Linked DNA regions of Kluyveromyces lactis. The protein of the gene in region 1 interacts with the protein of each later gene in a biochemical or structural test. Links are inferred from orthologs where the notes say so. Each region holds a gene or a part of one and is shown in the gene's direction. Other genes may lie near its edges.

Evidence for each region.
Region 2: the proteins of SCC2 (region 1) and SMC1 are reported together in a solved structure, tested with the Saccharomyces cerevisiae proteins (2 studies listed by BioGRID, with this or other methods). The link is inferred for Kluyveromyces lactis from reciprocal best matches to the Saccharomyces cerevisiae genes SCC2 and SMC1.

What each region holds. Positions count from the first base shown.
Region 1 is NC_006040.1:1,530,882-1,538,374, forward strand, and holds SCC2 (cohesin-loading factor complex subunit SCC2), read left to right. Parts: upstream 1-2,700; coding exon 2,701-7,143; downstream 7,144-7,493. Other genes in the region: NVJ3 (Nvj3p), read left to right, coding at 213-1,520; pseudouridine synthase PUS5, read right to left, coding at 1,447-2,346; SAS4 (Sas4p), read right to left, coding at 7,251-7,493. UniProt on the Saccharomyces cerevisiae protein: Plays a structural role in chromatin and is involved in sister chromatid cohesion. Forms a complex with SCC4 required for the stable association of the cohesin complex with chromatin, which may act by hydrolyzing ATP from SMC1 and SMC3 heads.
Region 2 is NC_006040.1:642,173-647,711, reverse strand, and holds SMC1 (cohesin subunit SMC1), read left to right. Parts: upstream 1-1,229; coding exon 1,230-4,961; downstream 4,962-5,539. Other genes in the region: KLLA0_D07524g (uncharacterized protein), read left to right, coding at 287-694; oxysterol-binding protein related protein HES1, read right to left, coding at 5,187-5,539. UniProt on the Saccharomyces cerevisiae protein: Involved in chromosome cohesion during cell cycle and in DNA repair. Central component of cohesin complex. The cohesin complex is required for the cohesion of sister chromatids after DNA replication.

The sequences.
Region 1 (7,493 bases):
TTTTTTTTTTTTCCCGCTGCGCTTGTACAATTAAGGTTTTTCTGTTATGGCTAAGGTTTGGGAGCAATAGAATATTTCTACCAAAAACATCAACAAAACGTGAATGTCAAACAAAAAAAGGATGGTCGTTCCATTGAGAAATAAAAGGTTAAACATTGTCAAATAAGACTGAAGAATTGAGGTTGTGTCAGCTCTAAACTGGTTAAGCCGTAATGCCGACGATATTATACAGCTCAAATTCGAAGCAGCTATCAAGATTCCAGCGCAAAACCAAGATCAATGCAGAGCAGCTAAATACAAAGATCAACACGAACGACGCTCCGTTCATATCAGAACAGAATAAGGACTCAAGAGAGTATCTCATAGAACTATGTTGTTCAGTTTATCCGACGGAAATCCATTCGCAGATCTTTCGATGTCCTGATTGGAAACTTCCTTTACATGCCATCTTGGTACTACTATTGAAAAACTTCGTTACCTCATGGTACGGGGAGAAAATTGTAACATCGGACACCGAGCTTTTAGTACATCTGTATGAACTTGTTGATGATGTGTTAGATGATATTCATAATACAAATATTTTGTGGGAGCAAGTAATATGTGATGATTTACCCTTATTTGTAGAAACACAAGTTAAGATAATGAGAAGAGTGCTACAAGAACAGTTGTTATTAGATGACTTTTACCAGCTACAATTATACAAACATACTTACCCCCATGCGATTGCTGAAATTATAGTTGAGAGATTCAGTAGTGGTTCAAGATTGCATAATGCCTTTTTACGAGATTTCTTCGGTGATTTTTTACTAGACAAGTTGACTGAGAAGATTGCAGAGCCATTCATAGTGATAGACATAGTAAAATCTATCTGCGAGAGTCTTCTCAGGGAAAAGGCAGAGAACTGTAAGCTAAGGGATAGAAAAAACTGGATTCAAAAAATGATGCATAAATTATGGTCCACTTTTCAATTGAGCAATAAAGAGGTAACTACTAATCACGTTCTTCGAAGAATTGATCAACCCGACAGTGGATTTTTCAATCACTATTTCTTTTCTGCCATGAATGAGTGTTTTCAGTTAGAAACGAGAAAACCACTACTGTTTTTAGCGTTCAAAGTTTCCCAATTTTTTGGCACCAAGATTGCCTTTGTTTCAAATATAGCATCTCAAATATTCCAAAACATTGTGACACAGAGGGTGCTCAGTGGAGAGTGGCTGATTTCCTCCAGCTTGAAAGTACGACATTTGCTCTTTCCTCATGACAACAAAATGGGTCCTGTCAAGACTGCACCAAGCGCAAGTGAATTCGTGATTATGAAGAAGGAAGCTTCAACAGCATTAAATCAAGTTTGCCGAAAAATGTATATTGACAAGATTTTGGGCATTGATTCAAACGACTGCGACTTAGTTATAGATGCTTTGGCATATGATAGAAAAATCAACCAATTCATGATACAAAGATTAGTTGATTATCTGCTAACTTCGTTTCCTGTATTTTCAGCTTCTTCAAACATTCCTTGATTGTTCCAGCCCAATCTTCCTTCAAAACTCGGGTTATATCTTCATTGAAGTTCCCATTTTGGTCTACAGATTCTCCCCATATCATTCTAAAACCGTCTGGAACGGGAATGATTTGCTCATGTATATTAAAACCAATTTTTGTCCGTATATAAGCTGAATGTAATGCGATTTGAAAGTCACTGTCAAAAACCTTCTTACCACCGTATTTCAAGTCATTATAAATTGGCGAATCAAGAACTTGCTGTGTAAGTTTCCGTATCTGATGCTTCTTCCCAGTTACCAACTGTAAAATTAGGTGTTCATTGTCGACACGCTGAAAATATGTGATTGCACCATTCCACTTTATGAGACCTTCTTTACACTCATTCGCAGTCTTAGATTTTCCAACTTTTGCGACATACTTTCTAGTTAGTGAGAATCCTTTATTCCCGCCATACCTTAGATTTCGACTAAATTGTTGTGCTGACTGTTTGTTTACAGCATATACTATTCCACCGGATACTGGTGTGTCAATCCTGTGGATGGGGTAGTACGATGGTTCATATGTACCGTCCTTCAGGATGCTTCCACTAGAGCTTTGAACAATATCCAATAACACTGGGGGATCATAGTCGTGAGTATTGTACCACGTTCGTTTGTCAGGTAATTGAGAAAGGGCCAAGGGTGGCTTATTAAAAATTACGTGGTGCTTGTCACGCCAGAGCTCTTGTACTTTTAAAGGGAATTCCACTTCACAATGTGTAGCCTTAGCGTTTGTCGACTCCGGGGAGACGATTTTAAAGATCTTCACGAAAGGGGGTTGTTTTATGAAGCCTCTACGTAGCATATCAATTAGTACTATGATTTAAGCAATGCAGATGTACAGGAACTAACGGTTTTCTCCTCTCAGCTACATTCATGACTACTTATGCTTCCCTCATCATTCTCATGATATTTTTCTCAAAACTGCAGCAGCCTTTTTCAAATCAAGAAAGCCGAATAGATATATAAATAATTAATGAGACGAATACTAGATCTCTACAGCAATGAACGGTCAAACGATTTCATCAAGTTGAAAGAAGCAACAGCAGATAGTTTACACCCGGAAGCTCTATTTCATCTGCTTTTCTCTGGGCATTATCATCTTCTTCAAATAATACTGCCTTTCCAGTAATATTCTGATTACTGAGCAGTGGCGGCTATGGCGAAAGGGTTTCCAGGCGAAACTGACAATGAGATTCCCAAACGCATCTCTGAAACACTGAAGTACCAGCCAATTAACCACATAGTACCGAAGTCAGGGCTATCTAATTTGCTGAGTTCTTCAATAACCGAAGATATCAGTATTTCATGTAACAGTGCGTTCGGTTCACCCCCATCTGAACATTGGCTATACCCTCACCCTATCGATTTCGACCCATTTAACGAAGGCGACAGGGACCCCATTTTATTCAGGAGACCCAATAATATTACTTTAAGAGATGAGTCTCAAGAAACTGCTCCTGATCTGAAGCTTCTGAAAAATCTTCCACAGCTAGGAATCAGGTGCCTGACTGTTACAAGCCTGGTCGATTCTGCTAGTATTGTTGCGAATGTTGCTGGAAATCAGAACACAGCTACTAAAAAAAGAAGGCTAGAAGCAGGGGAAGACAAGGTATTGCTGAATGAGCTGGATTCCAAACGGATTCAAATTTGTGTACAATCTAATCCGATGAATGACTTGGAAGTTGGAAAACTTTGTCTTGATCATCTTTCGAAATTGTTAGATTCTGTCGGACTCAATTCTGAAGGGAGTGTTAATGAAAACGCTAAATTCTGGAAGCCATTAGGTGATGTTTACGTTGCTACTTCGGAGGCTATAGATGCAATATCGTTGACGATAAATAAAGTTCTAGGATTTCCGATGGTATTTGAGTATATTGATGTTCAATCTCTTAAAAAAATACTGGGTCTTTGCACTAGAAATATCAAAAGAATCCTAGCATATCAATCAGACAATGAATCTGAGTCCTTAGATCTGAATAACCTTACGTTTGGTTGCGCATTTTTAATTCTTGAAGTTATGATGATAGATCTCAAATCCGCAAACCTTCAGTTAGAAGAATATTACAATGCTGTGTTCTCAGCGCTTGATAATGCGCTCGAGAAGTTACATGTTTCGGACAACTCAAGAGGTATTAATGCAGATATTGGAAATATATTCTTATTCATCAATTTATTGGAAAAGTTTGTCGCCTCTCAATCATACTTGGACGAAATGTTTTTGATCAAATCAGTGTGCATTTGCTGTGATATGCTACTACACAGATGCTATCAACACTTAAACACTAATGTGCTTTTATCGCAAGCGGAGCGGATAAAAGACCTTTCTCTTGGAATATTAATATCACTTTTTTCTGAGTATCCATCTCAGCGGCTATTTATTACGGAAGAATTATTATCACACGTGCATGATATAGTAGTCTCAAAATCCACTAAAAAACTGAAATTGGTCGATGAATTTGAGAATGGCTACGCATCGTATTTTACTGTCGCCCTTGTTGCCATGTTCCAGTCAATAAATGCTTTGCCTGATGCTGAGCTATTGTCAGATTTTACGTCTGAATTGCTTGAAAATGTACTGTCCGAGAATAATGCCGCAAGTTTGGAATTGAAAGGACTAATCGATAACGTCACAACAACTTTATTCGAAGGATTGATTACGAATCCTTTCAAATTCAAATCAATTGTGGAGATTTACATCCAAGATTTGCTAACTATGATAGGAAACCCGAAATGGGCGTATTCTCATCATTTATTAGAAGCTTTTTTGCCGAAATTGTTTCAGATATTCAGCCCTACGTATCAAGGAACAGGAAACTTCGAAGTGCTTGCTATTCAACTTGTCGGCCAAATTACTGCCACTTTGACAGACGTTAAACTGAGGGCTGCATCCGAGGAAAGTAGGGATGTAAAAAGGATATTTAATTTGCAAAATGAGTACAAAGAGTGTTTCGATTGGTTGGGTTCGCAGACCAAGACATATTTTTCCGATAGAGCATTGTGGAATGAATCACTTTTTTATATCAGTGAGATGTTAGATCAGAAGGAGATAGACAAAACAGACGCACAGGTAATGAATTTTGTTATACGTATAATAGCAAAAGAAATAAGGGAGACAGAAATAAGCGAGAAAGAAATAAGCGAGAAAGAAATAAATAATGGTATCGATGGTAATGAAAGAGTTCGGTCCCTTTACATGAAAATTGTTTCACTTAGTCCGTTGTTTAACTTTTATGAACCCGCTTTGAGGCTCATTCTTTCGTTATTGGATCAACAAAAAGTAAAACTTAAATCAGGAGCAGTTAAATGTTTGACCCTATTAGTATCAAAGGATCCTCAGATGTTAGATACTCCTTTTGTTCAGGAAACCATAAAAAACAGACTCTATGACTCTTCGGCTTCCGTTAGAGATGCAATTTTGGATCTTCTAGAGCAGGCCACAACCTACATTCAATTCTACCGAGAAATAAACTGTAACTTTGACGATGACAGTATAGCAGTTCGAAAACATGTTATGCGGATGAATGAAAAGATTCTTGATACAAGTTCCGACCTGAAAATAAAGACATTCGTTTTAGAAAAAGTCTTGAGACGAATTGAGGATGAAGAGGATGTTATCGTGGAAAATGCCAGGAAACTATTACTTCATAGACTAATTTTGAGACATAGTGCATCTGACTTGTCCGTAAAACTGCATAGATTTGATTTATCAGAAACCCTCGAGCTATTATCAACACTCATCGGTTATGGTGGCAAGACTGAGGAACTGTTGGAGTTCTTCTTTCATTTTTTCGTATTGAACCCCTCCATTCATAAGAATGAAGATACGAAGTCGATATTTGATGCTTTAAGAAATCTTGTTAATGTACTTATTGAAGAGATTACTGAGAATGCAGCATCTGCAGACGAACTGAGTGAATCGAATGCAAGAAATAGATATGACCTACTTTATTTTTTTGCCAATTGTCCGATCAATTTCATATCAAAACCGCATCTCTACTCACTCTTTCCATATCTTTCGTCAAACTTTAACGGTAAATGTTATTTACTGCTTTTGAAGGTCTTTCGCTCCTGCATTAAGAAACATAGCAATATCAAGCTCAAATTTTTGCACGATCTAGAAACCACCCTACTTGCGAAACTCTCAAAGCTCAATACGAGAGAAATCGAAGAGGCTTTGGCAATTTGTTGGGAGACCTCAACTAAAACAAGAAAGGAAGATAAGCTTCTAAAAGTATGTGCCTCATGCATCGAGCAATTACGTCCCTATGTAACCCAGGCTGTGACCGCACCAAGTTCCTTGAAGCTTGATGGAAAAGTCCAAAGACTTATCTATTTATGTACTGGGTTTGCTCGCATGTGTCATTTTAAGGAAAACGAAAAAAGGTTAGAATTTCTCAGAGGTGACGAACACTTGTACCAGTACGTTACAAAGTGCCTTCTTACGTTCACAAATAAGAAACTAGCCACTCCTCTGAGAAAAATTGCGATCAAGAACCTAGTGAAATTGGCGTCATCTTTTCCCAAACTCTTCAACTCTCCACCTGTTCTAAAAGTTTTAGATCATGAGTTCGAAGCTGGTGTCCTAGACACTAAACTGACAATCATTGACTGTTTACAAGTGTTCTTCTCTAGTGAGGAAAAGAAAGTATTAATGAAAATAGGGGCGAACGGTACCATATCATCAAGTTCAGAGATGAGGAGATTGATATCAACACAAAACACTACCGAGTCTGTCAATGATGGCGTCTGTTCAGCATTAGTTACCAGATACCTTGACAGCATCATGGATTTATGTTTGCTATCGGATATAAAAGATGCTATTGTTGCCATCAAATTTCTACAGCTCACATTGAATTTTCACTATACCAATCCGTCACATGCTGTTCCTACACTTATTGCTCTTTCATGTTCAGACGCGAACTCAGTAAAAACAGTGTCGACCAGACTGTTGTCCACGATTTTTGAACAGTATGAGAGTATGGTATTTAACGGTCTTGCCGCTGGATTTAAAAAGTGCTGTGTTGTTTTCAAGAGCCTGCTCCCATCAGAGTTGGAGCGCAAAGATCACTGCATGAAACGCCTACAGTGCATATTATCCAACAACAAAAAAAACGGCAAAAAATACGTAAGTGTTGTCAAAAATCTTACTATATCAGAATGTTATAAAACACATTCTGTTAGCAACACCGAGCTACTTTTCTTATTGCACAACATGAGTCAGATTGATTACGGAGATAGTTATGAGCTCTACGAATTCTTGAGTACCATGTCTCTAGTAATTGATGAGATTGACGAAACCATACAAGATATTCTAAGTATTCAAGAGGACGATGAAAAGAATTCGAAAGCATTTTCCCTGATCAAAAGGCGAAAGATCATGTCTAATTTCAAAACCCACATGATAAGTATACACAATCTTTCATCGGAAAAACTGTCGTTTATTGGCACTCCGGAAGAAGCGACATTGAAAGGTAGGTCAATTAGCACAATTTCAGATTCCCCTCTAGCTATCGAAAGTATCGTTTTCGAGAATCTAACAAATGAAGAAATAGATCAGCAATGTCTCGAATACCAGAAAGAATATGATGCAATTTATTAATGTCCTCTAATTACTCATCAAATTTATGTTTATTTAGATAAGTTGACTTGCGCTGATATTTTGTATACTACAAATAAACTGAAAACGTAGCATTTTGCTTAACACTTTCACTTATGATCTGTTTTAAATGACGTTTTTCTACTAGTTACAGGTAAAGCAGAATCGGAGGGAAAAGGATCAAGTTCACAAGTTGCAGCAACTTTTTTAATAATTTTCATCTGTTGATTAGGGAAGTGCTCAATTAAATGATATCTTTTTTTATAGTTTTCGACCTTTCGTAGACATTTCAATCGTTCTTCCTTTGTGAACTTTATAATAAATGGAGAGTTTAGTGGTTCAGCAATAATTCC
Region 2 (5,539 bases), about 890 kb from region 1:
ACATATACAGTTCTCAACATTTACCTATCTATGTCTTCTTATCAAGATAGGGTCATCCCTAGGTGTGGAAAATTATGCCAAGGAATTAATCGGGTGTGTTTTGCGATGAGGAAAAAAGTAAGTTGCACATTGAAAAAAATGTCAAATTTACACAATATAAGTACCTCTTTCGATTTTGTCCACCTATTCTTGCAACATTCCAGTGCCTACTCAAGCATAGCGTCTTGGATTGGACTGAATCTTTACCCACTTAAGCACTCCCAAAATACCCCTCCAACACACTGAAATGTCATTGCAGCAAGAAGGATCATCATCGGCGTCATCATCCTCATCGAGAATTAGCCAGAGGAACAAACAAGTTGGGTCTCAGTCTGAAGAAAATTTAACCGTGGAAGCCTTAAGAACACAAGAACTATCAGTAGGTCTGATTGTAAGTGCTTTTGTACTTGTGTTGAGCTGCGGTGTCATTTTCCTACTAGGAGTCAACATCGTGATCCAGTATCGTACCATAAACTGGGGTTATGTACCAAAAGCCATTTTGAAAATGACTTACATATTGTTAAGCGTGGTCTCCATCTTCTATATTAACAAATTCAACCTGTACTTCTTCAGATTGATGAACAACAGAGACACGTCCAATGCCTACGCTAGCATCCCACAACTGGAGCCTGTTCAGATGAAAACAGGCGTGTAAAGAACCAAATACTGACTTTTCCATCCATCTCAGACATCCTCATATAAATATACATATAAGTATATCATCATATGCAGTTAATTAAAGCAAAACCCCAGAAAAAAAAACCGATATAATACGAATTGAATTTCAAAAACCACAGAACGTGTGAACTGTATATCAGGGTGTCAGCTTCATACCGATCTTGTCTTCTGTACATCCTTGGTGCAACTAGCACCTCCGTCCTCTTTATGGATGGACGGATTATAACGGAAACTTCCCAATTAAGTTACATAATGAAACACCAAGTTACCCGGATATGTTCGAACGCGTCAATGCAATATTTAGAAAATGAAAATAAGAAAGGCGTTTATATCTATTTACATTAAGATTTTTCGTGTTAGTTGAAGGATGGGTAGCTTATTCGGTCAGCTTACCATCTACATCAGCTGCAACAAGCCGCTTATAATTGAAGTTGCAGTACAAGTTATCCTAATAAACTTGTGATCATTTTTTGTTTTATTTCGCTGATTTGTAGAGATATTCGTGTTCCAAGATGGGTAGACTTATCGGGTTAGAGCTGCATAATTTCAAGTCGTATAAGGATACGGTGCAAGTTGGTTTTGGTGAGTCTTACTTCACCAGCATCATTGGGCCCAATGGTTCTGGTAAATCGAATCTGATGGATGCCATTTCCTTTGTGTTAGGTGTGAGAAGTAATCAGTTAAGGTCATCGGCGCTTGTAGATTTGATATACAGGGGCAGAATTGAAAATGGCGATCCAGATAACGGCAATGCTAAGAGAATGCACCGATCCGACGCTGATTCGGAAGCTGGTCCAGAGAATGCCACATATTCGGAGGAAGAACCAAGAAGTGCATATGTCAGTTGCGTGTATCAAAAAGATGATCTTGATGAACCAACAAAATTCACAAGAACCATCAATACATCTGGTGATAGCGTTTACAAAATCAACGATAGAGCTGTGAGCTATAAAAAATATAACGAGGAATTAGAATCCGAAAACATCTTGGTCAAGGCGAAAAACTTTTTGGTTTTCCAAGGTGATGTCGAAAGAATCGCTTCTCAGGGACCAGAATCATTGACGCTATTATTGGAGCAGGTTTCTGGATCTATAAACTATAAGAATGATTATGAGAAATTGAAAGAAGAGCATAAGCTGGCTTTAGCTGAATTCACAGACGCTCATAATTCAAGGAAAAAAGTGCAAAACGATTTGAAAAGTTTTAAAGAAGGTGTCCAACGGGATGAGCAATATAGAACGAGTTTAGAAATTAGAGATCAGTTGAAACATAACTTTATTTTATGGGAACTATTCCATATCCTTAAAAGAAGGAAGAAACTGGTAGATTCTCTAACAGTTTCAAAAACTGAAACGACTGCGTTGAAGAACAAGCTTTCAGACGAAGAAAGAATACTGACCAAAATCAAATCCACAACGGCTAAACATGAACTGCAATTGAGTAAGTTGAAAGATACGCTCGTACAGTTAGAAAATGAAAAAACATCGTTACAGTCATCTTTACTACCTGTTGGAAGCGAGAGGTTAGCTACCATCAAGAGAATACATAACTTGGAAAAAAGAATATCCTCATTCAAGAAAGATATGGAAAGGCAACAAGCTTATGTCAAACAATTCGAAAATCAACTGAAGGTAGTTTCTAAAACAAAAAAGTCGTTTGAGAAAGAGTTAGAAAATATTCATGCCAATCTCAATAAATTCAATTTATCTGAAGAAGATTTAAAACAATATGAGCTATTGAAAGAGAAGTATTTAAGTTCTGGAGGCTCTCATATCGAGGAAAAGTTGGCTATCTTAAAAAACGACGAGTTTGAACTAAACGAAGAGAGTGAACTTATTAACAAAAGACTGAAAACAACCAGGGAACGCATAAGTGACGAATTACAGGTCGATGTCGATGCTTTAGAAGCAGATCTCAACGAGGTAACACAAAGGTTGAATGATAAAAACTCGATAGCAGCTGCTAAGTCTAAAGAATGGAAAGGTATTCAAACTAATCTTGAGTCCCTAAAGAATAAGGAATATGAACTGAATTTTAGCTTGAGAGACGTACTTCTGAAAATTGACGATCTTAACGCTGATCAAAGAGAGACCAAGAAGGAAAGAAAACTAAGAGAGAATGTTTCTATGCTTAAGAGATTATATCCCGGTGTGAAAGGATTAGTACACGATCTATGTCATCCGAAAAAAGAGAAGTATGCGATTGCAGTATCAACGATACTTGGTAAAAACTTTGATTCCATTATAGTCGACAGTATTGCTACCGCACACGAATGTATCACGTACCTTAAAAAGCAAAGAGCCGGTTCAGCGTCTTTCATACCTCTTGATACAATCGACGTCAATCCACCATCATTGCCGGTGTCGAACGTACAAGGCTGCCTTTTGACTATTAATGCTATCGAATACGAAGGCTACCTTGAGAAGGCAATGCAATATGTGTGCTCAGATTCTATTATTTGTGATAACCTAGACCTAGCTAAAGAATTAAAGTGGTCAAGAAATGTCAAGGCCAAACTAGTGACATTGAATGGTGCTTTAATACATAAAGCTGGACAAATGACTGGTGGTACGGCACAGAAAAACCAGAATAGATGGAATAAAGATGAATACCAAGGACTGATGGTATTGAAAGATCAAATTACCGAAGAATTGACAGCGCTATCAGACAAATTCAGAGCTGATAACATGAAATCCAGAGAGCTGGAGAATGAAATATCTTTGTTAAATAATGAGATTTCGAGTTTGAGAACTCAGATCACCCAACTTGAAAGAACTTTAAGTGGAAAAAATGTCGAAATCAAGCATAACGAGGATTTGATTACTACAGAATACGAACCTCAGCTTAAATCCTTCACTCAACGTATCGAAGAATTGAAGAGCAAATTAACTAAGTTGGAAAGTGAGAAAGATGTTTTACAAGAACAGATTTTTAGACCTTTCACCGATAAATATGGCTTCTCAATTAAAGACTATGAACAAGGTACTGGCGAAATTATGAGAAAGCACTCCAAGGAGCTTCAACAGTTCCAGAAACAGATTCTCACCATTGAGAACAAATTGGAATTCGAAAAGGACCGTTTGGGAGCTACTGCGGCACGTCATACAAAAGCCTTATCTGACATGGATAAATTGAAAGAGGCTCTGGGTTCATTAGAGAAACAAGAGGACATAATAACGGAAAAGATCAAGAATGCAGACTCAAAAATTTCACAAGAACAACAACTGGTAGCCATTCAACAAAAGGAGCTAGATGAAAAAGTGCACAATCTAATTTCATTTGATAGTAATATTGCAGAAATTCAATCGAGCATGCAAGCCGCAAGACGAAAAGTGGATGAAATCAAAGAAGATATTGAAACACTCGACCTTGAACAATTAGGTATACTGAAGAATTGTAAAGTCTCTAACATAGAGCTACCGCTACTGGATTCGTCGTTAGAAGATATTTCCATTGATGTTTTGGATTCTAACAATACAGGTATAATCTCTGATCTCGAGTATGATTTTACTTCTTTACCGGAGAAGTACAGGCTAAATGATGGCGAAGAAGTGAAAGAAGAGTTTGAATCGGAGATTAAAAAGGTGGAAGAAAAATTAGAAATTCTACAACCTAATTCTAAAGCTGTTCAAAGATACGATGAGACAAAACACAAATTAGATCAAGTATCGAATGAGAATGAGAGACTGAGGAATAAAGAAAGAAAAGCGAAAGAGAAATTTCTTGAAGTCAAAGCTAAACGTAAAGAGTTATTTGAAGCGTGTTTCAAACATGTTGATAAACACATTGATCAGATCTACAGGGCTTTGACCAAGAATCCACATGATAAGTCCGAACTAGCCGGTGGTAATGCTTCTTTAACAGTTGAAAATGAGGACGAACCATATTTAGGCGGAATTAAATACTTTGCGACCCCACCGTTGAAAAGGTTTAAGGATATGGAATATCTTTCTGGTGGTGAAAAAACCATGGCCGCCTTAGCTTTGTTGTTCACCATCAATTCATATCAACCCAGTCCTTTCTTTGTATTGGACGAAGTAGATGCCGCTTTAGACATCACTAATGTTGAAAGAATAGCACATTATATTAAGCGGAATGCTAATCCAAATGCCCAGTTCATCGTTATATCGTTGAAGAATGCTATGTTTGAAAAATCCCAATCACTAGTTGGTATATTCCGGGAACAAGAAGATAACTCTTCTAGAATGGTTAGTTTGAATCTCGAGAATTATGATGAAGATTGATGTAACATTATTTGCAATTTAATACACCTAAATCATAAGTACATACATAATAGATGGTACTACTTTAAACAAGGATCTCTTCTTTGCATATGTTAAAAGACTAATAATTTATTTAACATTTAGCGCTTACGTAGTTATGTAGTATAATCCAACTGAAGTTGATAATGAATCAAAAGAGATTTACAACCAATGAAATACACACTTTATCATCATCGTGAATTATTCTCAAAGTTTAATTTCTGTTTCCTTATCCCAGCTTTCGTGATCGAATCTCCAATGCAACATATTTGCATCCTTCTTTTCTTCCGAAACCAGTGTTCCACTAGGTAAGTTCTTCACTGATATATTTGCCAAGATGGCTAATTTGGTAAAGGTGTCAGGATCTTTTTCGGAATAATCGTAATCCTTGAACCATCTTCTTTGCCAATCAATTCCCTTAGCTTCTTCCTCCCTTCTAAGTTCTCTTTGCTTTTCTTCGAGCTTAGTTTTTTCTTGATGAATCAGATCAAAATTACCAGATTTCGTTGCAGCAGCTACAAGTTGCCAGGCCTTTCTAGATTCCAGCGGATGTTGTTCCT